4 linked regions of the Drosophila melanogaster genome follow. The protein of the gene in region 3 purifies or fractionates together with the protein of the main gene of each other region. This does not show direct contact. Each region holds a gene or a part of one and is shown on either strand. Other genes may lie near its edges. The genes, in order: TpnC4, Scp1, mAcon1 and TpnC41C.

What was found.
Region 1: the proteins of mAcon1 (region 3) and TpnC4 purify together in Drosophila melanogaster (affinity purification with mass spectrometry, with the first as the bait; one large-scale study listed by BioGRID). This does not show direct contact.
Region 2: the proteins of mAcon1 (region 3) and Scp1 purify together in Drosophila melanogaster (affinity purification with mass spectrometry, with the first as the bait; one large-scale study listed by BioGRID). This does not show direct contact.
Region 4: the proteins of mAcon1 (region 3) and TpnC41C purify together in Drosophila melanogaster (affinity purification with mass spectrometry, with the first as the bait; one large-scale study listed by BioGRID). This does not show direct contact.

The regions. Positions count from the first base shown.
Region 1 is NT_033778.4:5,502,907-5,509,591, reverse strand, and holds TpnC4 (troponin C isoform 4), read left to right. Parts: upstream 1-1,725; 5' UTR 1,726-1,905; coding exon 1,906-1,908; intron 1,909-2,797; coding exon 2,798-2,831; intron 2,832-2,880; coding exon 2,881-3,279; intron 3,280-3,333; coding exon 3,334-3,354; intron 3,355-5,943; coding exon 5,944-5,948; 3' UTR 5,949-6,155; downstream 6,156-6,685.
Region 2 is NT_033778.4:2,965,030-2,969,584, reverse strand, and holds the start of Scp1 (sarcoplasmic calcium-binding protein 1), read left to right. Parts: upstream 1-1,532; 5' UTR 1,533-1,601; intron 1,602-2,240; exon of another isoform or gene 2,241-2,268; intron 2,269-2,393; 5' UTR 2,394-2,438; coding exon 2,439-2,490; intron 2,491-4,555.
Region 3 is NT_033779.5:21,166,589-21,173,707, forward strand, and holds mAcon1 (mitochondrial aconitase 1), read left to right. Parts: upstream 1-1,981; 5' UTR 1,982-2,183; coding exon 2,184-2,216; intron 2,217-3,602; coding exon 3,603-5,240; intron 5,241-5,306; coding exon 5,307-5,810; intron 5,811-5,871; coding exon 5,872-6,060; 3' UTR 6,061-6,596; downstream 6,597-7,119. Other genes in the region: CG43345 (uncharacterized protein), read right to left, coding at 91-360, 415-1,626; CG31627 (uncharacterized protein), read left to right, coding at 6,700-7,119.
Region 4 is NT_033778.4:5,064,700-5,072,045, reverse strand, and holds TpnC41C (troponin C at 41C), read left to right. Parts: upstream 1-1,835; 5' UTR 1,836-2,058; coding exon 2,059-2,064; intron 2,065-5,041; coding exon 5,042-5,069; intron 5,070-5,122; coding exon 5,123-5,518; intron 5,519-5,582; coding exon 5,583-5,617; 3' UTR 5,618-6,809; downstream 6,810-7,346.

The sequences.
Region 1 (6,685 bases), on a different chromosome or scaffold from region 3:
GACTACAAACCCCGAAACGGGGTTGGCAAGCATTTTAAATTAAAATAATACTGCTTAAAATGTAATGCTTAACCACAACTCTATATGGACAGACAAACGAACATGGCCAAATCGACTTTGCTTGTGATCCTGATCACGAATGTATATACTCTATAGAATCGAAAACGCGTGAAATACTGATTACATTATATAGGATCAGGGGACAAACTGCCCTTCCGCTCATCTGCAGGCGTATTTAAGATCAGATCTGTTGTCTTTCCTAGCAGTTTTTCGGTTAATATTTTCTTGAGGTGTAAGATGACGGACCATTGCCAAATAATCACACTTTGGAGCTCCAGCAGAACTTGAACTGTAATACTCCATTCAAATTGCTAATTGTACATCGCTATATATGTACCTACCTATACGTAGCTTTTAGGGCCATTGGAAAAGAGTGCTTAGGCACATGCATCATTGGCCCACTTGTGGGTTGTAACTTTGTCAATGTGAGAGACGCCACGTAAATCAAGTTTCGGAGCGACAAGTCATAACGGTCATAGCGTCAACGTAAGCCTAAAAAGCCCAGCCATTGGCTATTTCACCGTATAAGACAGAAATTCGTTTTCACAGACCGTCCAACCATCAATAATTAAAAGCCATGATGGAACTATTGTCTTTCACTGGGCGTCTTCCTTGTAGAATGCGACAGTGCCTGCCTTGGGAACGATTCTATAGGCCCAGCAGTCCCCTCCATGTCATCTGCTACGAGATGTAGGCTGTGTACCACATTATTCTAACGTGTGGGCGTGGCAGTTTTGGGCGGCTTGAGGGCGTTAGCGTGAGTCAACAAACTAGCGCTGCGTCTATGTCTCTGGAATGGTAATCTCGACAGACGGAAAGGGTCAGATCGACTCGGCTATTGATCCTGATCAAGAATATATACATACATACATTATATGGTCGGAAACGCTACTTTTCAGCGAAACTAGCACTTTTACTTTACGAGTAACGGGTATAACAAACAATGAGATCACACATTTTTGAAAGTGTGAAGGTAAAATTGGTTTCGTGAAGTACTTTATCTACGATAAAATCATATTAATTAACAACTTTCACTAAATTAATAAAATATAAATAGCTTTCACCCCATTTTGACACTACGTGATGAATGCACCAACTTCGGTAAAATATATGCAATGGTACATTTTGATACTCATCAATTATCGCGCATTTCTCTTGATTAGGTAGATTAGGAAGAAACAGTAACAGGAAAGGAAGCTTGATTCAGTAAGTAAAGATATCTTAAAGATATAAATATTACTGTGCAACGAGGAACGCTTAAAAATATAAGTTCCGCGTAATATTTATGGTTGAACTGTCAAAGAAAATGTTTGTTATTTCCCGTATAGATTAAGTGTTATGGTAAATCATTAATTTAAGAAATATGTTGCCTTTATGGTATCAAAAATACTTAAATTTCTAATTTTATATAAACTAAAAAATAAAAATTTTTAATTGGATTATTGCTTTTACAATTTAAGGAATAAAAGTTTCGGCATAAAGACCACCCTTACTCTTCGAGCGCTTCTTGCTCTTATTTCCTTATCATCGATTAGGATGAAAATTTAGCCGTTTGTATACAGATGTAGTCGCTTACATTTTTATTGTTAGCGTTCGTTCGGAAAAGCTTTGGCATTTTCCATTGCCGATGAACTTAGCTAACATAAAACACAAATCGAATTGTTTAAAAGCTTGGTGATAATTGAAAGTAGCGTACCCTGTTTCTTTAGCTCCTCTTCTGGGACACTTTTTAGATTATCAAAAATATCGTATAGTAATAGTAATATAGTATTTTTATATTATATTTAAAGGGTTTTCCTAAACCTTAGCGGTGTAATTTGATTTAACAAAAAAAAACTCTTTAAAATGGTAAGTTACGATATTATAACTTTGATTAAACTAAAAATTAATGGAGCACATTCTGAATTTTTTATATAAAATTTACTGTTGACTAAATATAAATATAAATATAATTATTTACCCTTGCTATGAAAAAACACAATTTATATAAATATAAATTCCACAAGCGATAAAGTATAAAGTATTAAGTTTGTAAAGTGGTTGGAAATAAGCTGTCAAGGGAAAGTGATTTTTGATATATTTTTTTTTTTGATATAGATAGTGTCTATCTACGTATGAGACAAATAGGAACTTAATTGTCATCACTGCCGTTAATCTGCAGATCATTTTCAAAACATTAAAATGTAGACGACAACGTGCGCTATGTGGATTTTAATAACCAGACAGTGAAGAAGATATTACCTTAAAATTTTTTAATTTATCATTAACTTAGTATTTATTGCAATAACACCCGCTACCCGTTACTCGTAGAGTAAAAGGGTATACTCTATTCGTTAAAAAGTATGTAACTTGCAGAAGGAAGCGATTTCTACCACATAAAGCATAGACATACATTCTTTATCAGGAACAATAGCCGAGTCGATCTAGCCATACATATAAGGGATATATTGTTCTACATCGCTAAAGTAGAGTCTTCGAACATTTATGGTAAATCAGTTGCATACGGACAGACGGGCTACCGAGCAAAAGTTGACTTCGTTACAAAAAATGCACATAAGAAAACGTACCCTTTTTGTGCATGAAAGACATGCATCTGTATGCAATATATTTTTGGAAATACAACATACCCGTCCACCAAACGAGTATAATTATGACATTACTCTTGTAGACACCAGGCTGACATGAACATATAGTTCATTATCTTAAAGATTTTATTATATATCCATACTTCTTTCAGGCCGATGGAGAATACGACAAGGAACAATTGAGAAGTAGTATAAAATTAAACTTTTATTTACTATTTAAAAAACGACGTATTAGTCCTTAGGAACGCCTTCAAGGCTTTCGACCACGACGGTGCAGGATCGATCGAACATGCTGATGTATCTAGCATTCTTGAAATTTTGGGTCAGAAATTAGAACCACCTGCGGTAAAGGCCCTTATTAAAGAGGTCGATAAAGGAACAACTGGTAAATTGGATTTTAGCCAGTTCTGCAAACTGGCAGCTCGCTTTATTGAAGTTGAGGAAGATGTGGGAGCTCTTCAAAATGAGTTAAAAGAGGCCTTCCGTGTATATGATAAAGAGGGGAAAGGATACCTGACAGTTGCAACACTAAGAGGCATTCTTCACGAATTGGACGATAAGCTTTCTAACCAAGACTTAGATATGATTATAGAAGAAATTGATGCGGATGGATCCGGTACGGTTGATTTTGACGGTAAGTAGTTTAATATAATTAATCAAACATTCAATAATAACGTTTTCATTGCAGAATTCATGCAAGTTATGACAGGTAATACATGATACCCTTAAACAAATATTAGTTCCACCTATGTAAAAAAACACATTCAAACAAAACAATATTATTCTGACCTTCTTTACGGTTTGCCGTTTAAGGGTGAAGTGACGATACCACCCACGTGCAAAAAATAATCAACTTGTATGACTACAATTGATATTGCATATATTGCATAAATTATAAATTCATAATATAAAATTTACGCAAACGGCGCCCGTTTTTCTAAAATAATTCCTGTCCACCAAAACATTTTCTATTAAACGATTTATTATCGTATTGCCTTGTAAGGATGTGTTTTTTTTTTATACTTGGTTTTTAATCGTCAACATAACGGCATAAGCAACATCAGTTATGACCGTAAAATGTTGCTTATGCCGTTAGACGATTAAAAACTAAGTGTGCTAAGGTCTCTATACCTAAGACAAGAGAGAAGACCACAGTCCAGTTATGAAATCCTAAAGAAAAATGAAAAAAAAAAATTGGGCGTGGCAGTTTGAGCGGCTTGTAGGCGTTGAAGTGCTGATGGCAAAAAGTTTTTTGGCAAATCGATAGAAATTGTCAAGCTTATTACAAATTTAAAAATATTATAACATATATTTTTTTTTTTTTGGGTATGCGTGCCACGCATATGCATGGCAATGGCTGGGATCCAACGTAGGGTCTTTTCTTTAAGCTTTTCCGGGTTTAAGGTTCTTAGGACCACGATTCCTGTGATCGATTCTGATCCATATGGGCATGTCCGAATGTATGTCCCTAAACATCTCCGCTTCTGGGGAGAATCCTCTGTTACATCCAATACCTCGTGTTTTTGTAGGGTTGCGTTAATCGCTGCTTTACCGTGCCACTTTTTATACAACATGCAAAATGCAACATTTGGTACAAAAGGAATCAATATTATTTACTGACGTGCCAAATGTTCATTGGCAAATAGGAATAGAGGGATGCATAACAAAAACCGGGTGTTGACTTGAGTGTTGATCACCTTACATTAAGAGATCAGTTGAACAAAGAGCGTAAAGTGAAACATCAATGAGAAAGAGTGAAAGTCAGTAAAGTATCAAACTGATCAAATCAAAGTAAACTGGCTTGTTGTGATCAGACTCAATATGGAGTTGGCTTGAGATTAAAGGGTAATGTCAAGGTCCATACAAAGAAGTAAAAAGTAAAGAAAGAAATGTAGACAAGGTTGGCGATGGTGAATGTCCGGTCCTTTAAAAACATCCACCATATCTGAGTTCGTGCCGAATAGCAAGTTAGATGTACCGAATGTTGAAGTTTGAAACAAGCCAGAAGAGCAAGTAGGCAGACAAAAACTGAGAGACTGTCGTTTATGATAATAAAATGACGTCGCAGAAGTATTTGTCTTCAAACAGAGCCCGTTTAGTTACATATATTTTTGACCAGAATTCATCTTCCAACACTGGAAACTCTTAGTGAAAGCACCTATCGATAGAATTGGAGGCAGATTGACTAAGAGAATAAGAACGGTACATAGTGTAAATAAACAACTGGAAGTTACGTAATAGGCAGCAAATTATGAAATTTCTTGGAACATTCCTTTTAGGTCCAGAGGGGGGGAGGGAAGCTGCTCCCCCTGCCCTACCCTGGCGACGCATTAATTGCTTTGTAAACTTCTATAGATTTGCTAAGAAAGTGTCAACATTTTTCGTTCCCCCTCCCACTAAATGAGTAATGAGTATCTGATAGTCCAGTAACTCGACTAGAAGGCAGATGACAAAATGACACCGATAAAAATTGGTAGAAAAAACATGATATTATAGAATGCTATAGTCCAGTGCCTCGACTATCAGATACACGTTACTCAGCTGATAAATTTAAAAACAATAAATATGCCTCCATATATGGATGTTATATATTTGCCGCCCGAATAAGCTACCGATTGGGCGTGGACAACATGTTTTTGGTATATTTTCAACACATTTAAGAAGTGTGTGTGTGGCGTTAGAGGCGCGACAAAATTGAATTTTATATATATATATTTTTTTATTATATATTTTATAAAATAAAATGTTATAAAATATCAACATATTTTTAAGACATAGATTAAGATTCCTGAGACATAGACGAAGTGCAAGGTTGTTTCTCAATTTTGCCACGCCTACTTTTACGCCCACAAGCAAATCAAAGCTGCCACGACCACACTTTTTAAAATGTTTTTATATTATTCATTTTTGTATACGTCTTATTAATTTCTATTGATATGCCAATACCCAATCTTCACAAATCTGCCACGCCCACACTTTTGAAAAATTTTTTGATTATACCAAACAATTTTGGACGCCCCTTCTAGCACCTATAAAACGACCAAAACTGTCACGCCCACCTTTTTTTAAATTTTTTAATATTTTTAATATATTATTCTCTATCTAATTCTATCGATATGCCAGAAAAATTATGAAAATTCCCATTTTCCCTTCCACTAGCTGAATAACGGGTATCTGATAGTCCGGTAACTCGACTATAGCATTCTCTCTTGTAATTTCAAATATTTCGTTCCTTATCCTTATATTTCGTTATATAAATATAAATATTTTTATAAACACTAAAACTTTTCTCTTCCAGGTTGACCCACATTGCTCTTTTTTGACATGCTGTGCAAAAGCTCAGATATGGCAGACAATGCAAAATCAAAAATACATAAAACAATAATAGCCATTAGTTTTGTGTCAAATATTATAAATAAAATTTGATTGAAATGTATTAGCATCATTTTTCTCTTATCTAATTTAAATATAAACAAATATCGGGCCAAAAGCAGATAAGGCCGATGTACGAACAGACGGATGAACATATGTGGTAAAGTAACAGGTGTGGCAAGGCTGTACTGTTTCCTCTTCTCCTTGCGTTCTTTGATGCTTAACTTATTTCATTTATTTTCAATGTATGGGAATAAAGCGACAAATTATCTGAGATTGGGAATAAATGTGTTAGAGCGTGACCGATAGTGCTGTTGCTGAACGTGGTTAAAGTGCGAAAGAGATACGAGAAAAGGAAATGAACCATGCTAGAGGCGAGAGCGTCAGTTGTTGGTTAGAAGCCAAAGCAGATAGAAGAACTCGTTGATACCTCAGCCTTACAAAATAGATTACATTTTACAGAAAAGATGTACAACAACACTCAAAATCCTTATGAGCCGATATCAAAAGTGGGATCTGTGCCGCACCAAAGACACTAGAATAGTGTCTTTGGCCGCACCCTGCGATTTCCGAGGGAACAGTGGCGTGCAGTTCTCGAAATGCAATACGGAATTTCGATGAACTTGCGAAAATCATGCAAGCATCGCCGTCATGTGAGCAGTAGCATA
Region 2 (4,555 bases), on a different chromosome or scaffold from region 3:
ATTTGTACATCGTAAAAGTCGCAAACTTTATAGAAATACTAAGATATCATTGTAAAACCAATAGTTAAAAACAACAGAACTACAACAACTTAGACTTTCAAGAAATCTTTGCTTTCGAAAATCTTACCTATATATACATATATAAATATGCGATGAGAAAAAAATTGTAAATATAAGAAATTAATTAATTAAATTAGTTGATTGCTCTCCAAATTTAGTTCTGGGAAAGAAAGATCTGTGTAGTTTTAGCAACTCCGACAACTTATCCAGAATGGAAGAGGTCGACGACGGAATCATCCTATTAAACGATTACGATGGAATCATATCCTGGATCCTCACAGAGCTTCACCTACTTTGTTTAGCTATCAAACGACTCGATGATTATCGACAACAGGGGGATTCGCCAACTTGGAACCTACAGCCCTGTCTCCTAGTTCGCCTCTTGTACAATTTACAGATGAAGAAAAAGAAAGACTGAGGTTATATCTCTTGAAACACTGAACCGTTGCATATACATAAAAGGCCAACAGCATAACCCTACTGACGCTCTTCGACAATACTCTGATTATCATCCTGGGCCTTCACACCTATAGTCAAAGGAAGAGAAGCATAAACTTGCAGCTTAGACCTATACCGGGAATGGAAACAAAAGTTAACATCAGCTACCTCAGTTCAATAACATTCCCTACATAAATTAGAAAGTTAAAGTTAATAACAATGAATTCAACATCGGTCTACAACAGAATGTAATAGAGTAACAAACCCCAAATATGCAAGCTCAGCGCCACCAAGCAGATTTCCCAAAATGTGTTTGGCAATTGTTTCCGCTCCCACCAGCGCTTGTGATTCCAAGAAGCCGACGTCGATCCTCTGCCAATAAGGACAGCACAGCCGACAGCTAAAGACTCGCAGCTTATAAAGACGATGTTCTCACTTAAGTTTATAGTCCAACTCTTTTAATGCTCGTTACTCATAGAGTAAAAGGGTATACTAGATTGGTTGAAACAGGCAGAAGAAAGCGCTTCCGACAATAAAATGTATATATATTCATGATCAGGATCAATGTATCGATTTGCAAAAAAAAATTTTGCCACGCCTACTCAAACGCCCCAAAGCCGACAAGCCGGTCACCCCCGCACTTTTGAAAAATTGTTAGATATTTTTCATAATTTTATTGGTCGTGTATATTTCTATTGATTTGCCAAAAAACTTTTTGCCACGCCCACTCAAACGCCCTAAAGCCACCAAACCGGTCACGCCCACACTTTTTTAACAATTTTTTATTTTTTTTTCATTTTATTTTTTTTCTAATATCAATCAATCAATCGATATCAATCGATTTTCCAGAAAAATTATGAACTTTCGCGTTAGCATTGACCCTAGCTTAGTTACTGGTATCTGATAATCAGGGAACTCGACTATAGCCTTCTCTCTTGTTTTATATTATTATACCCGTTACACGTAGAATCAACGAATCTAATTTTACTCTACACGTATGGGGCATAAAAACATATATATATTTTCTTATATGTATATATATTGTTTTTATATAATATTATATCTTAACAGTAATAGACAACTATAGACCGCCGATCACAATGGTAATAAGACATAAAACTGTACATTTGAATGTTGAATATTGTATCTCCTATATATGTATATGTATATGTACATAAAACCGAAAATAAGAATTGTGAGTTTTATAAAATGTGTGCTTTATAATAGGTTATGCATGTACTATAAATATATACTTGTGAATATACATGTGTGTAAGCTTGCAAAAATAGTAAATATTTTTCTATTAATAATCATGTCAATTAATTATCAATTCTTTAAATGTTAAAATGATTTTTGATATATTTTACTATTAGTGTTCAAATACAAAATTAAATAGGGGTGAATTGTTCGCTTTTTTTCCATTTTAAATGGTTAATTAGAGCATAATCTATATGGAAACTTTCACGAATAACATTGTAACAGGTAGGCTTAATATTTGGTAGTAGAAAACTGAATTGTTATTGATTGTGATTTCAAAACAGTGCTATAGTTTACTTAATACAATAATTACATTTAGTACAATGGAAACTCCTAATTAAAAATAAACTACCTTTTGAAAGAGAACAAATATATACAAATGCACTTTCTATACAATACACATTTGTATGTATAATGTTTAGATACATACCATGTAAATAATGTTGCCAAAGTGTACGACTTTTGGCAAAAGGTTTAGCAAATTTAGTTAGTCTGAAGTAAGCTATTCCGAAGGTAAGGAGCTCATATTTACTATTCAAGAACTTTTTACCTAAAAGTACTATTTATAGATACCAAAAAATTTTAATTTATTTATAGACTTTTATTAGTTCAGATAGTAATGGTATTTCTACTTTTAGCTATTTACATTTTATGAGGATAAGCTCCAAACAAATTCCGTCATAATGGCTTATTCCTGGGATAACCGTGTCGATTTTGTCGTTCGGTATATGTATGGTGAGTAGAAAAGGACTTAGGCTTATTAAACGTATCCTATAGTGAATTAAAATACCTTAAAAATTTACGTATATTTTATACAAAAAATTTAAGTTTATATTCCATTGCATTGAATACATAAAGCCATTTTTATACATATCTTCGGAACTATCCGAAATCCGATATTTTAACAATATATACATTTTATTTTAATTTTATTTAATATGGGACGACTATATCATATAGCTGCATTAAGAACTGCTTGAAAATTAAACACCCAAAATAGAATATAAATAAAAGTTTCGTTTTTTAACACTATGGGTGCTAAGTAGACATATATGTTTTTGTAATTACTGAAAGGGTATTTGGATAGGATTAATCAAATTTGCAAGCGCACAAATACAATAAAAATAACATTTACAATTGCTGCGGATCAGATTTATGTAACAATCTCAAGTCTGGCAATTTAAATGTTGCGCCATATTTATGATGTAGTTTTATAATCCGTTAAAATGAGGTCACATGGAACCGGTCAAGTGGTCATTGCAGCTTATATGAGGTTAAGCCAAAGACATTTGAAGAACAAGATGCGTAACGCCATACAATTTTTTGCACACAATTTTATCGGGATGGCTCCAGAGGTGGCTCAGCAGTTCTTTTCTACGCATACAGTGACAGCCGACAACTGTATGGTAATGCATTGTAAATTTGACAATTTACAAGTTCATAGACTTTACATCTGTATTATCTTTGTTTAATTGGCAACATGTAAAAAATTCTTGGCTTGCATGGCCTTAACCAAAGACCCTAGTGTCTAGTTTCTTTGCCTTAACTATATTATTATTTGAATATATATGTACATAATATCACAAAATAAATTTCAAAGATGACTATATTAGAACAAAGGTTATTAGGGCGTTCACTTGCCCCTTGTGAAAAATTAATAAGGCAATCATTGTTGCAATAAACGTGTTCGTGTCTCAAGATATGACTTTTGCAATAAAAAGTTTTCATATTTTTATTCATTTTATAAATATTTATTTTCTACTACTTATTATTTTTGTGAAATATCTTTTCCTCAATGTAATGACTTCTTTTTGGAAAAGTTATGTTTTAATTTAAAATTTTATTATTTTATTTTATTATCCGTTTGATTAAAGCTGACTATACGCCGAGCTTCTCTATTTTTTGAAAGTTTCGCTATATAACCTAGTTTATATATTTAATTAAAGTCGTTTTGTTGCAATATCGTACTTTAGGTGATATATTCAAGGTGTAAATTCGTAATTATTATTTTATTTTATCATATTGCTAAGAAATTGGGTATACTAGGGTATACTAGACTCGTTGAAAAGTATGTAACAGCCAGAAGGTAGCGTTTCCGACTATATAAAGTATATATATTCTTAATCAGGATCAGTAGCGGACATGTCCATCTGTCCGTATGAACGTCGAGATCTCAGGAACTATAAAAGCTAGAAGGTTGAAATTAACCATACAGGTTCTAGAGATAAAGACGCACACTCATTTTTTCATATTTTTATTAGGCTTTAAAATTTCTATGGATTGGCCACAAAACTCTTTGCCACGCCCACTCTGACGGCAGGTTACAGCTAGGTTATGTTGATCATTAACCGAAATTATATTAGGCTAAGTTAAGCCGAGCTTTAAATCTCTCTAAATGCCTATGGGACTCTTGTGGACTCCAAATGGCAACCTCAACTTCACTTGGTCGTAGGGAAAATATTTCAGAGTGTTCAGACAACACGGTTTTCGAGTGTTCGCTTGGATCTCCAATCGCTAAGCTATGAAATCACTGAAATCTATATTCATTGTTAATGGTTTACAATATTAATCTTTGTGCAAATTAAAAGTGTTCCTTTTTAATTATTTGAACAAAAAATTTTTATTTTATTATAATTTAATATTTTATTCATGATAGACCTTTTCACTTATACTATTACAAGACATTCTTTTTATCTCTTGTCTTAAATTTAAAACTGTTCACGATCTCGTCCCGATTCAGACTGATCTTCTAAATATTAATCCTAATCCACTCAACCTTGGCCAGAAGCTTTTCTTTAGG
Region 3 (7,119 bases):
TTTTAGAATTTGAGGTTAGGTCTTGCGTTTGTTATGACATGAACAGCTGGTGGCGGTGTTGCAAAATGCCGGCAGGTTTAAAAGCGTAATTCAAATTCGTAAAATTGGTTTCAGTGGCAATGCATAGGGACTAAACCAGTCCCGCAGAAAAATTGCCATTAAATCTGTACGGAGACTATTATTGTTGTATTCCATGTCCTGGAGTACTAATCCAATGCCAGCTGAGTAAGTAAAATGCTCTCCCGAAAAACTGGAGGTGCCTATAAAGGCAACCCTATCGGTGACTAAGTACGAGTTGCAGTTAACTCTACCGCCGGAAATCCTCTCCAGTTCATTTGTGGTGGGTACAACAAAACGTCGCTGCAAGAGCAAAGAAATTGTTAATAAAATTGCCAATACTTATAAGCTCATTACCATTTGTATATCTACTCCTTCCGTAATTTTGTCGAGCGCTTGAAGGGACCTCAAGAAGTGATCCTCGCTGGGATCCGAATACTTCCACCATGAAATAAGCACCTTAATGGCCACACCGCGTTCCAAGGCAGCTCTACGCAGGGCATTGTCTATGACCGGCCAGTACTCCAATTTGTTACTCCGTCTTAGCCGAGGAGAGTACTCCATTAAGGAGAGGTATATAACGTCTGTGGCCTTGTCGATAGCCTCTAAAATGGCATCTAGCTCTCGGGTCCTTCCAGTAGCGATCAACTCTGGTGGTGATGTGGATAAATAAGCTCTCATTGTATGTTTTTTGTTGATGTTTAGCAAAAGCGGTCTTCTTTGATTGATGTGCGTGTGGTATATCCACGGCCAGCTCTTTGGCACTTCATTGCTGCCCAGGTACCAATACGCCTTGAAGATCTTTCCCAGATCTAGAGCAAGATGGGGACAATTTCTGGCCAGCACACCTAGTTCCTTGCGTTGCGTCAGTGATCGCCAGTCCATGCTAGCTGTGCCCAAGTAGAAGTGCTCCCCGTCCACTAACCACAGTTTTGAGTGCAGAAAATTAATGCCCACGACGTCGGCTGCTCCGTAGTTAGCCAAGATACGGGCATCAGCATGCCACAGGCTATCGTGGCTGCGATTAACCACAATCCGCACGCGCAGCTTGGGTCTGCCGGCATCTCCATTCGACAGTAGCTGCTGAAAGAGTTGATCTCCAGGCCCGGTGCTGCTATCGTTGACGTCCAAGCCGCGCAGTGTCCAGTGCGGAGAAACGATGTCCAACGATGCCTTGGCCCTGCCTAGTAGTAGCTGCCAGGCATCAAAGGTGCTACTCAGTTGGGGGTGGCTTTGCCATTGGCTGTAGTTCAACCCCAAGGGCAAGCTCTCCACCAGTTCGAGTTGACATGGTAACGGCTTTTCCACCGGAACGGGGCTGTTTCCGTTTTCATTTCGATGGTAGGTCTCCCAAGGCAACAGAAGCACAATCATCACCAGAACGAAGAGTATAAGCACTGGTATGATGTAGCCGTGCTTGCAGGAACAGATATTTCGCTCATCCTGGAGCCCTAGGCCGCAATTGGGACGCCGGCAACACGATGTGGTCAAAGGGGTTGGCTCTTCCGGTGCTCTGGGCACTGGCTGGTACTCTCCGGGTATCTCATGCACTACGCGACGCTCGGACATGGCAAGGGGATCAGGACTAATGCTGACTGGCCATTGTCAAACATTTTTCACAGCCGAGCCTATTTATTATTCGCGCAGTTGTGGGAAAGTATCACCCGCCCACGCAAACAAATGGGCAGTGTTGGACAGCACAGCGCGGTAGTCGTCTGCGCTGGCTGCTAAAAAAAAGCTAAAGGATAAATTAATCCAAGTCCCTGCTCAGAAAAATAAGTTGTCGTCAGTGCATTATTTCAGCATTTACTTCGATTTAAGTTTTAACGCCATAGAGTCCATTAATTCTCTTGAAGTTAATAAATGTTTATCGCTTTAATTCAAAACTGATAAACTTTCTATGGTCCTATTTATTTAACGACCCAATTTTGGCGGGAAACAAGCCGGCGGAACATTGCTGACGCGTATGCGTGACGCCAGCTAACACTGGTCGCCGTGGTAAAGAATTTAGTCTGTCTTAAAATCTTCCGGCTGAGAGGGCTGAAAATTTTGACGGCTTCGAAGCATTTGCTGCAATATCAATTTCGTCGGGTTTATTTCGAGTATCGCTTAATCAGGACGCGACCATGGCTGCGAGATTGATGAACGCCCAGGCACAGGTAGGTTCTAGAGCGGAGCCTGTGCCTCCAGTCGGCCAATATATAACCACGGCTATATATACGTTTACGTATAGAATCTGTGAATGGAACCCCGAAATTCCAAGCTGCGATAAAGACAACTGGACAGAGCACTGCGCGAAAGTTTACAAAAAATCATTGCCCATTTCTTACACACCCAGCAGGATGTGGGCAGCGAAAAATAGCAAATTTTTCGCACAGCGTTTTCTAACCTAAAATCATAAAATTCGAAGTGGTTAGGTAACCGAGTTCGCAGTGTTTGTGATTCTACAGGCCCTGCATCCCAAACATGTATACTGAATACGCAGCAGTGAACCATGCGAAATCGTTAGCTCTCAACAATTAACAGCGATTCGTGGGGGTTCGATGGTTGGCATAGTTGCATTTACATAATCGCCGGGGTCCAGTTATTTAACCAGGAGGCGAACACCCTCTAGAGCATATATCTTGTGGCGGAGGACCGTCTTATCTGTGACAGGTTTACTTACACTTTGATAATGCCAGCACTAAATATAGCTTAAAAAAGTTGCGCCGTTTAACTTGAGTATCACGCGCATTGGAGGAGTTTTGCCTTTCAAGTGGGGTTTTTCCACGTCAGCTTCGAGAAAGGTTTCACTGTACTCTGCCCATAAGTTAACGACCTATTTGACGTAATTGTCATTGCAATTGTTTCGATTTGCGTGTATGTACATACAGTCGTGTCGTCACGTGGTTCTTCTAATTGGAGTGTTCTGTAGAATATTGTAACAATTTGAAAGGCTTACAAACAAACTATATTTCCAGCTACTTTTTATTTTTTTATTCTGCAGTTCGAAGAACCTTAAAGCACTTTGGCTAGCACTTAAAATACTTTGATTGTTAAATGTAAACTTTCAATCATTTTACTAATCTCAAAAAAATATTTGGAAAAATTTCACTCTGAAGCGGTAAATGGATCAATGGATTATTTTTGGCTATTCAAAAATTTCAAGACGATTAAAATTTATTAGCTTTAGCAATATATTGATCTTAAAACAAGTGAAAGCGGTGATAATAATGTTTTACATTTGTTATATATGTATGCAAGATTAAATGTACAGTAAAGAAGAATTTTCACAGATATGGTCCCCACATGATTGTACTCTTGTCAGAATATCTTTGGGAATTATCATTTCCTGATAGAGGAATCAATTTAATTAAAGTGACGAGGACTCGTCCTCTTGACATGATAATCAAGTGTTTATTGGGCTACCAAGCGAATAAATAAAATCTCACAGTGTGCGAAGTGCAAATAAACTAGAGAATCACATTGTGTTAATTACTTGATCTTGATTGCTAAATGTACCACTTCACCATATTTAACAGTTCGACTTCTTATCTGCTTTCCAGGTGTGTCGACTGGGCAAGCATGTTGCGTCCGAAGCCACAGTGGTGCGTCAGTTCCACGCCTCCTGCTACACCGCCTCCAAAGTGGCTCTGTCCAAGTTCGACTCGGACGTCTACCTGCCGTACGAGAAGCTGAACAAGCGCCTGGAAGTGGTGCGCGGTCGCTTGAACCGCCCACTGACTCTCTCCGAGAAGGTGCTGTACTCGCATCTGGACGATCCCGCAAACCAGGACATCGTGCGCGGTACTTCGTACCTGCGTCTTCGCCCCGATCGTGTGGCTATGCAGGATGCCACTGCACAGATGGCTCTGCTTCAGTTTATCTCCTCCGGACTGAAAAAGGTGGCTGTGCCCTCCACTGTTCACTGTGATCATTTAATCGAGGCCCAGATTGGTGGACCCAAGGATTTAGCCCGTGCCAAGGACCTGAACAAGGAAGTGTACGATTTCTTGGCCAGCACCTGTGCAAAGTACGGATTGGGCTTCTGGAAGCCAGGCAGCGGAATCATCCATCAGATCATTCTGGAGAACTACGCTTTCCCCGGCCTGCTGATGATTGGTACTGACTCACACACCCCCAACGGTGGTGGCTTGGGTGGCCTGTGCATTGGCGTTGGTGGTGCTGATGCCGTCGATGTGATGGCCGACATCCCCTGGGAGCTGAAGTGCCCCAAGGTGATTGGTGTCAATTTGACTGGCAAGATCAGCGGCTGGACCTCGCCCAAGGATGTTATCCTGAAGGTTGCCGATATCCTGACCGTCAAGGGAGGCACCGGTGCCATCATTGAGTATCACGGCAAGGGTGTTGACTCTATCTCTTGTACAGGCATGGCCACCATCTGCAACATGGGTGCTGAGATCGGAGCTACCACCTCTCTGTTCCCCTTCAACCAGCGCATGGCTGATTACCTGAAATCGACAGGCCGTGCTGGCATTGCCTCCGAAGCCCAGAAGTACCAGGCCAAGATTCTGTCCGCTGACAAGAACTGCGAGTACGATGAGCTGATTGAAATCAACCTAGACACCCTGGAGCCCCATGTTAACGGACCATTCACTCCCGATTTGGGCCATCCCATCAGCAAGCTAGGCGAGAACTCGAAGAAGAACGGGTACCCTATGGACATCCGTGTAGGTCTTATTGGCTCTTGCACCAACTCTTCGTATGAGGACATGGGTCGCTGCGCCAGCATCGCCAAGGATGCCATGAGCCATGGCCTCAAGTCGAAGATTCCTTTCAATGTGACTCCCGGATCAGAGCAGATCCGTGCCACCATCGAGCGCGACGGCATCTCTGAGGTGTTCGACAAGTTCGGCGGTACCGTTCTGGCCAACGCTTGCGGTCCCTGCATTGGACAGTGGGATCGTAAGGACGTTAAGAAGGGCGACAAGAACACCATTGTCACCTCCTACAACCGAAACTTTACTGGCAGGAACGACGCTAACCCGGCCACCCATTGCTTTGTCACTAGTCCCGAGTTGGTCACCGCTCTGTCCATCGCCGGTCGTCTGGACTTCAACCCGCTGACCGACGAGCTTACTGGTGCTGATGGCAAGAAGTTCAAGCTCAAGGCTCCCTTCGGCGACGAGCTGCCCGCCAAGGGTTTCGATCCCGGCCAGGACACCTACACTGCTCCCCCACCCGTAAGTACATTTAAATTCCCAAACTGATTTATATTGTTCTTAAGAATCAATATGGAAATCCCACAGAGCGGCGAAAATGTCAAGGTGGCTGTCGACCCCAAGTCGACGCGTCTGCAGCTGCTGGAGCCTTTTGACAAGTGGAACGGCCAGGATCTGACCGATCTGACTGTGCTGATCAAGGTTAAGGGAAAGTGCACCACTGACCACATCTCCGCTGCCGGACCCTGGCTGAAGTACCGTGGCCATTTGGACAACATCTCCAACAACATGTTTATCGGAGCCACCAACTACGAAAACAACGAGATGAACAACATCAAGAACCAACGCAACGGTAGCTGGGGAGGAGTTCCCGACGTAGCCCGCGACTACAAGGCCAACGGCATCAAGTGGGTGGCCGTCGGCGATGAGAACTACGGCGAGGGTTCGTCCCGCGAGCATGCCGCTTTGGAGCCCCGTCACCTTGGTGGTCGTGCCATTATCGTCAAGTCCTTCGCCCGTATCCACGAGACCAACCTGAAGAAACAGGGTCTTCTGCCTCTCACCTTCGCCAATCCCGCTGATTACGATAAGGTTTGCGACTCTTAGCTTCTGTGACTAAGGTCATATTAACCATATCTTTGTACTTCAACAGATCCAGCCCACGAGCAAAATCTCCCTGCTCAACCTGAAATCCCTTGCGCCTGGAAAGCCCGTAGATGCCGAAATCAAGAATGGCGACAAGGTCGAGAGGATCAAGCTTAACCACACCCTGAACGACCTACAGATCGGCTGGTTCAAGGCCGGCAGCGCTCTCAACCGCATGAAGGAGCTGGCCCAGTAAATGGTCCTGGACCTACTTAAGACACCCAGTCAAGAAGCCTGATCCCAACCTTCTTCCTGTAGGTGAACACACTCAAATTCACAACGGAAGCAATCGAATTATGGTATTGTTATTCAATTCTTTTCAAATTGTTTATATTATATTTTGACTATATCGAGTGTGCAGCTTTAAAAGTGAATTATGTAGCCGAACGATAGCGAGAAATTGTAAGAGTTTTATATATATAATTATACACAATTTTATTTTTAATTCTGGCTATGCATGCGTTTCCTTCAATTTTTGTTCTTTTTGAATTTGTCCAAATGCTCTACAGATTGCCTCTACTATGAAACTGTTTTAAGTGCGAATAAAACTCAAGTAATATGTATTAAACCGATTCTTTCATTTAATAAACAACAGTTAAAACAAAAAAGCGGACAATAAGTGCCGTCAATTCATCCCGTGTCCTCTATATTTTCTTCATTATTAACATAATTTTATCAATTATAAGACGTAAGACACAACAATTTGCACAATAAAGCATAATATCAATAATAGAATCTACTGGGGCAGATTACTTAATTATTCACCCATAGCTTTTGGAAAATATGTCGAATTGTCAATCAAATATAAATTATTAGTAAATCCAATTCTAGGACTATGAAACGCAGAGCTCAAAGTAAAACTTCCGTTGCTTCCAGCACGGATTTCTTTTCACTCTCCGACAAGCCATCGTTGGGAAGAAGACGAGCCCTACTGGCTGCAAAACTTAAGCGTCAGGAACAGAGTACAACGTCCTTTGACTCCAGCACAGGCTCCTACACTTATACAGACGCCACTTCTTTGCGAAAGACCCCCATCACCTTCTCACCTAGCCCGGAGTTCATGAAGACCGCCAAGGCTAAATTAAAGTTAATCGCATTGTATGAAGATCACAAATGCTTGTGGAATCAGCGCAACAAAGATTTCTTCAATTTCGAGCTCAAAGACAGAATCTGGGATGCGATTGCCGATGAAATGAAAGCGGACTCGCCATCTGGGTTTTGGAAACATATGATTCACAAGCTTCGCTATAAAGTT
Region 4 (7,346 bases), on a different chromosome or scaffold from region 3:
GGGGCCGGCTACACGCAGGCGGCACCGTTGCAGGTAACACTGCTGAGAAACTCTACGAAAATGCCCGTAATACTCGGAGACGGCATAATAGTAGTTAACACTGATGGGAAAACTCTGCGGCAATGCCCGGAATACTCGCATGCGACATGATCACAGTTAATACACGGACTCGTTCATTTGTTACTCATATTCCTCCCTTAGCCATAGCTGTCCCTGTCACACTCGAAAATGAATATGATATTATATAATAAAAAAATTTGATTCTTCACAACGGGCTTGTTCCACAGTTTTTGAAATCGAAGGCCATAGGCCAGACTGTCTTATTTTAGTATTCAGAAAAAATATTGCCACCGACTTAGAGTTGGACTTATCAATCCAAGGGAATCAAACGCCTTTTCTATCGTAGAAAGAATTGATCGTCTTGTTCTGTTACGAAGATACGAATTCATATCATAAGTCCAGTTTGAACTTACAATCCGATCTAGATATCTTTCAAATATGGTGCCGTGATAACGTACTAAACTTAAATGGCTCCAAGTGTAAAGTTATGACCTTTTGCCGTATCAACCAATACACACAACTTGCACTTAAAGGGTCGCTCTTTAGACAGAATAAAACGGGTTGATGATCTTGGTGTTTTTCTGGACCTAAACTTAAATTTTAGACCATATTTCGAATATTAAATAAGGCCAGGGGTGTGCTTGGCTTTATAAAAAGGTGGCCAAAGGAATTTTATGATCCTTACACGACCAAAACCTTAGTCCGTCTGATTTTTGAGTAATGGCCACCTGTCTGGAGTCCTCAATACGTCGTTCACTCGGACCGCATTGAATCGGTCCAAAAAAACGTTTTTCTGTTAACTCGGGCAGCGCCCAAGTTATCAGTGTGTCCAAAGGGGGAAGCTGATGAGTTTGGATATAGTTATCGGTATTCCCAAAGGGGGCATACTGAGCTCTTTCGAGTTTAAAACCAGAGTGGTCTTTATTGTGTCGGAGAAGTCTCCTCTAGCTCTTGGTTACTCAAGTTTTTGTCTTATAGATAAGTGCTTTTGGTTTTAAGTGTACATAGGTTCTTAATGTAAATATAATAATTTTTTTAGATTTTGCACCACTTACGGGGAGCATTTTCGAAATGTATTCAAACATAAATTGGCCAGAAGATAAGCAAATAAAGCAATAGATCCGCTATTCAGCTAGTGAGAGCGGGACCGATTTTTGAAACTTTCTGATCAAAAATGTATATACTTTATAGGATCGGAAAATCAACCTTCTGCCTGTTACATATTTAATAACGAATCTTGTAGTCAAGGGTATAAAAAATATATTCCGTTGTTTTATGTTTCATAATATGATTTTTTCATGATTTTTTATATATAATAACTGCGAGGGTGTATAAGCTTAGGAAATGTTATATTTTTATTCTATTCATAATTTTTTTGACCAATTTCTATAAGTATGCCCAAAAAGATTGGCCACGTCCACAATAAATGTAACCGCTACCAGGTTGCAATTGTGAGTAATCTCGTGAAGAGTGTTTTCTAATTTTGTTTTTTGTGTCTCCATTTCCCTTACACTCCCACACGCTGAGTATCAGAAGGGCGAGAAACAAAATTATAGCGTTCGCTCTTGTTTTTGAATTGCAATTTTTGTTCACAAATACCATTTTATAATACGTTCCAAGATCTAATGCAATGTACGGTTTATAAAAATAAAGAATTTTGATGAATATTGTGTATCTAAAAATAAAACTCTGAGTATTTTTCTGTCTTGTGGATAAAATTATCTTTGAGTTACATGACATACGGAATATTTATGTTGTCTTTTTTATTTGGTTTTAATTGTTGTTTTTGTTTCAACAAAAATAGTTGCAGAGCTATCATCGTATTAAGTCTAAAATGTTCCTGAATGTTGAGATGCATCCACAGAAGACACATAGCCCATATGTGTTTTAATCGCGTCAATACCAAGTTTATTTCTCGTCTTCAATTGTTTATTTAGCTTTTAATTAACGGAGTGTTCAATTTTTTAATATTAGAGATTAATCCAAAGAGCTAAAAAAATGAGCGTAAGTTAATCGGCAAAAAAAATAATCCCAGTATAAGTTTCCAAGCTACTTCGAGTTAAAATTTCAAGATTAAAGGAGTCAAAATTATTTCAGATGATCTCAATACTGAACGTTTTTCAGGGTGCAATCAGTTCAAATAAAATAAGTAACGATATAACGTTTTATATAGAGAGTTAATGCTTAACGCCCACGTTCCAGCAATGTTTGCTCGATAACTTTTCAATTAAGTCAGAGAATAAACATATTGTACATTCAACTAATATTTCTTTAAACATCATTAAACAGCTCACACATGTATTTGATTTGCAAATACTACATTTTTACTTTAAGGAATCTTACGTTTTTGGTCCGTCTGTCAGTCAGTCCGTCTGTCCGCATGTACAGGTACATTTACATCTATATACACCCATTCTTGATCACTAGTCGAATCGACCAGGTCATGTCCATCTTCCTGCCTATCTAAGGTATAACAAGAGAGAATGCTATAGTCGAGTTCGCGAACGCGAATTGCATTATTTTTCTGGGATATCGACAGATATTGGGGAGTAAAATGAGAAAAAAATAAAGAAAAGTGTGGGCGTGACCGATTTGGCGGCTTTAGGGCGTTTGAGTGGCGTGGCAAAAAGTTTTTTGGCAAATCTATAGAAATTTACAAGACCTTCTAGCTTTTATAGTTCCTGAGATCTCGACGTTCATACGGACAGACGGACGTGGCCAGATCGACTCGGCTATTGTTCCTGATCAAGAATATATTTACGTTATATAGTCGAAAACTCTTTCTTCTGCCTGTTACATACTTTTCAACAAATCTAGTAAACCCTCTACGAGTAATGGGTATAAATATCGAAATCCGTGGTTAATTTGAAAGTAGCCTTAAAGATTCTTCTGAATCCGTCGTTTCTATTTTCTAGCTTTTATGGATCCCAAAATCGCGTGTATATGATCAGAATAGCTGACCAACTGACGACCAGATTGACTCGGGTAGTGGTCCTGATACTGATTATGCTTATACCTATATTCTTTTTAGGGACGAAAAAGCTTCTTTCTACAAAAATATCAAAGATGGGGTTTATTGAATTTGTTACTTTTCTAAAACAGAGATTCATATTTAGAAAGAAAAGGTAAAGAAAGTGCTCTAGTTAACAAGTTAAGTGGGTCAAGATTAGTGCAGATAAGTGGAGCTAACTTGAGAACATCTTACTAAGAAATAGAAGAAGAGAGAATGCTATAGTGGGGTTCTCCCAGTTTTCTGCGGTATTATGGCGTTAGAGTGGGCGCGGCAAAAAGATTTTTGGAAAATCGATACAAATTTAAAAGACATAAAAGTTTTTTTGCAAATCGATAGAAATTTACAAACAAAAAAATTTAAAAATATCAAAACATTTTTAAAAAGTGTGGGCAATTTTCTGCGATTTGTGGTCGTTAGAGTGATCGTGGCAGCATGAGTCAATGAACTTGCCTTCCGTATATGTCTCTAGAATCTGTAAGCTTAATTTCAGAAAGCTGAAATCGAGACGCTGAATACGGACAGACGGACATGGAAATATCAACTCGGCTTTTGATGCTGATCAAGAATATATATACTTTATATGGTCTGCCTGTCTGGAAATCTAGTTAACACTTTTATCCTACGAGTAACGGGTTGATAGAAAAATTGTTTTGCACGCCCACTCTGACGCCCACAAGCCGCCCATTTTTCTCATTATATTCTCTAATTTCTCCCTATGTCCAAAAATGTCTCGTTCACACTTCCAGCTGAGAAATAGCAATTTATCATGTTTTTGAAGCCTACGGATATCCGATCTTTTAGAGATCCCTCTGTAATTGCTTACATATATTTGTTTATGAAGAGGTATCACGGACTCCTCCCATATATATAAAGGGTAAAGTAGAGGCTTGCATAAGACTTTCGCACAGAGCCTAAGCACTCAGCGTGTTAAGACTGGCTTAACTCGCTGAAGATCGTAAAGTAGTGAGCTTTCGTTTGAAGTGGGGCAAAATTTCAATTTGGACTTCTAAGCCGCTTAAGAGTAAGGGTGTTCGTCGGGGAAGTTTAATTCCCACGATCCCTCTTTCATATTTTTCATCTTAGCTTCAAACTCCTTCACCACCGTACTTTTCGGTCGAAAATCATCAGAACACTTCAAAAAATAAAATGTCACTCACGCAAGAAAATTTAATATTTTCCTTTTTAATGTTATCGGCTTTGGAAGACAAATCTTAAAATTAAAGTAGACATGATGATTGGGGACTTCGGGTACTGTTTATTTTAATGATATATAAATCTTGGTAAGCCTATCACCTCTCCAAAATAATGAGAATTATTATTAAGTTAATTTTTTAATTAAAAAAAATGATTTGTTTTCCCACCGTTCGTCTGTCGTCAACTCTCACTACCGCATAAAAGCTGTCGATCATATAACGATAGGGCAGTGTGCCCGGCTTAGGACTTGTCTTAGCCGACTAGAGTTTTTGTTGGTGTTGGCTAAATGTTTGTACTGAATGAAATATTTCGCCCCCGGTTTATTAACTTTTCCAATAACTTTTCCACTTACCGGAATAGACTCGTTTATTGGCGATTTTCTTTCGTTGCTATTAGTGTGACCCATCATGCAATTCTTGGCTTTAACCTTGAATTTTACAATTTTATAAAATCAAGCAAGGTAGGACCTCCTTTGGAAGGGACAATTTTAGCAATTCAGCTATGTACACACCACAAGGCGGCTTTAAAAATGGCGAATATTGGAGGAGGAAAGCCGCTTTGCATTCCAATCGATTTCCAAAACTATCGTTGACCTTACGTGAAATAAAAACTAATCACTGGCATTAGATTGACATCAAACCACACATCAGGCAGTTAACAATTAAGAATTCAAACACAGTTAAAGTCATGACGCATAAATATATTAAATGAAATTGTATTTTAGTATTATGCCTATATTGTATATTTCTAAATAAACACCCTTATTTTTCTTAGGATGAATTGACTAAGGAGCAAACTGCATGTAAGCTTATAACCCATTTACTGATTTCTTAACTAAAAAGCATTTCCTTATAGTACTACGTAATGCATTTAATGCTTTTGACCCTGAAAAAAATGGATATATCAACACAGCTATGGTGGGTACGATACTTAGCATGTTGGGTCATCAACTTGATGATGCAACTCTTGCTGACATTATCGCTGAAGTCGATGAGGATGGTTCGGGCCAAATCGAATTTGAAGAATTTACCACCCTGGCAGCCCGCTTCCTTGTGGAAGAGGACGCTGAAGCTATGATGGCTGAATTGAAGGAAGCTTTCCGCCTTTACGACAAAGAAGGAAATGGATATATAACTACTGGTGTTCTTCGTGAAATCCTGCGCGAACTAGACGATAAATTGACAAATGACGACCTGGACATGATGATTGAGGAAATTGATTCCGATGGATCGGGTACTGTTGATTTTGATGGTATATAAATCATACAGCTGAATTACAAACGCTTTGCTATTTTATAACATATATTATTTTATAGAATTTATGGAAGTAATGACCGGTGGCGACGACTAAAACAATATCAAAAGAGTACATCGAAATAAGTATTTTAATTTAAACAATGCAATCAAAATTGAATGACATGAGAAAAAATTATATTATATTATTTTGTCTAAAGTAAATAAGTAAATTGATCGTATGAAAACGTAAAATATTTTATTCTTACGCATTTTTTTAAAACCCTTTTAAGTTACTTTAAGTAGTCCTGCCAAATGGAATAAATCTCTATCGGTTCCACGCAAATAGTATAGTTTAGTTTTGTATAGTTTAGTTTATAGTTTATAGTCACGTTGGCCGTGTTGTTAGAGGCCTTGGACTGCTTGCGCCACTTTAGTCGAACTGCATTTTCTTTGTTGCTATCAGTCTGACTCAACGAGCCATTTGTTTCCCCCCTTTGCTTCAGACTCTTGGCTGCTCGGAATTTAACGTTTCTGTAAGGGAGGTGGACGAGTACGGAGCGTTAAGAAATTTTTGGTACATCGCAGATTGAAGTCCAAGCGGATTAACGGATTCACTCGCCAGTCAATTTAGAAAAATTAGCTGGAAGACGGATAATTTTAAGGAATTATGCGTAAAAACGACAAGGATTGTTTTTAGTCAAAAAGCACGAAGTGATAAACAATGCCTTAAGAGAATTATAAAAAAGATATTGTCCGATTAATAAATCTGGAGAATTGAAAGGTAAAACATTAAAGCAACTAGAGCGATACAATGAAAATGATACAGGCCAATATTAAATTCCTCATTAAGCATTTATAAGAGAGGATAGTCTTATCACTAAGCTTCGGGTGGTGTTTGACGCAAAGACCAAAACAACAGATGGGAAAAGCTTTGGTATTCACATGACTAGGACATACATTTAGAGGATAGGCAGCACGTGCTTTCCCCTCCCACCACCTCTAGCTGACCAAATTGCAGCTGAAGTCATTGTTCTGCAAGTGGGTCATTATCTACTCTACCTCCACCGCCGGGAATGTCGGTGTCAGCTAGCGCAGCATCAGCACCGGAAGACAGGCTAACGACTCTGGAGCTCTGCAGCGTACCGATGATGAAAGGGCATACGGACCTTGTGTTTGGCTAAGCGTTGGGCCGCTGAGCTTACGAGCGGCTGGCGAAGCGCTGGCCACTCGTTCGATTTTCGATTTTTTTTTTTATCAAATTATAAAATTGTACTTAATTATAGAAATAAAAGAAACTAAGACCTTGAAGTATTCATTTTTCATATGGTGAAAACCGAAAGCATGCAACTCCCTGCAAGGATTCCAACTCCAAGTAGTATTTTCGACTGCTTAGATTGGCGCCCGAACAGTTCGCTCATCACGAGGATGGAGAATGAAAAAAAGGGGAAAATGCTTGCGACCGGTGCACCGCGGTGATGAGAAAAAACTATAAAATGTGAACAAAAAGTCCAAATAATAAAATACAATAGGCTGATACGCACCACGGTGACAAGATAGTTCACGGGTGTGATGTGCCAGATGTGACAACTAAATATTTAAAAAATCCAAATATGAAATAAATATAAAAATTAAATAAATATATATAAAAATAAAAAAAATATGGCAAAGCGTTAAGCTTGTTCAAGGGCATAAGATAAGATAAGATAAGATATATGAAATCAATTATGGTGCACGGTCGTGAGGGGAAACCCTATTGTGCGGAGACTTACCAGAAACGCTAAGAGGCGTTGAATGCGATCCATACCTTATTAGGCAATGCCAAAACTGACGCCTGCGGGCCATCT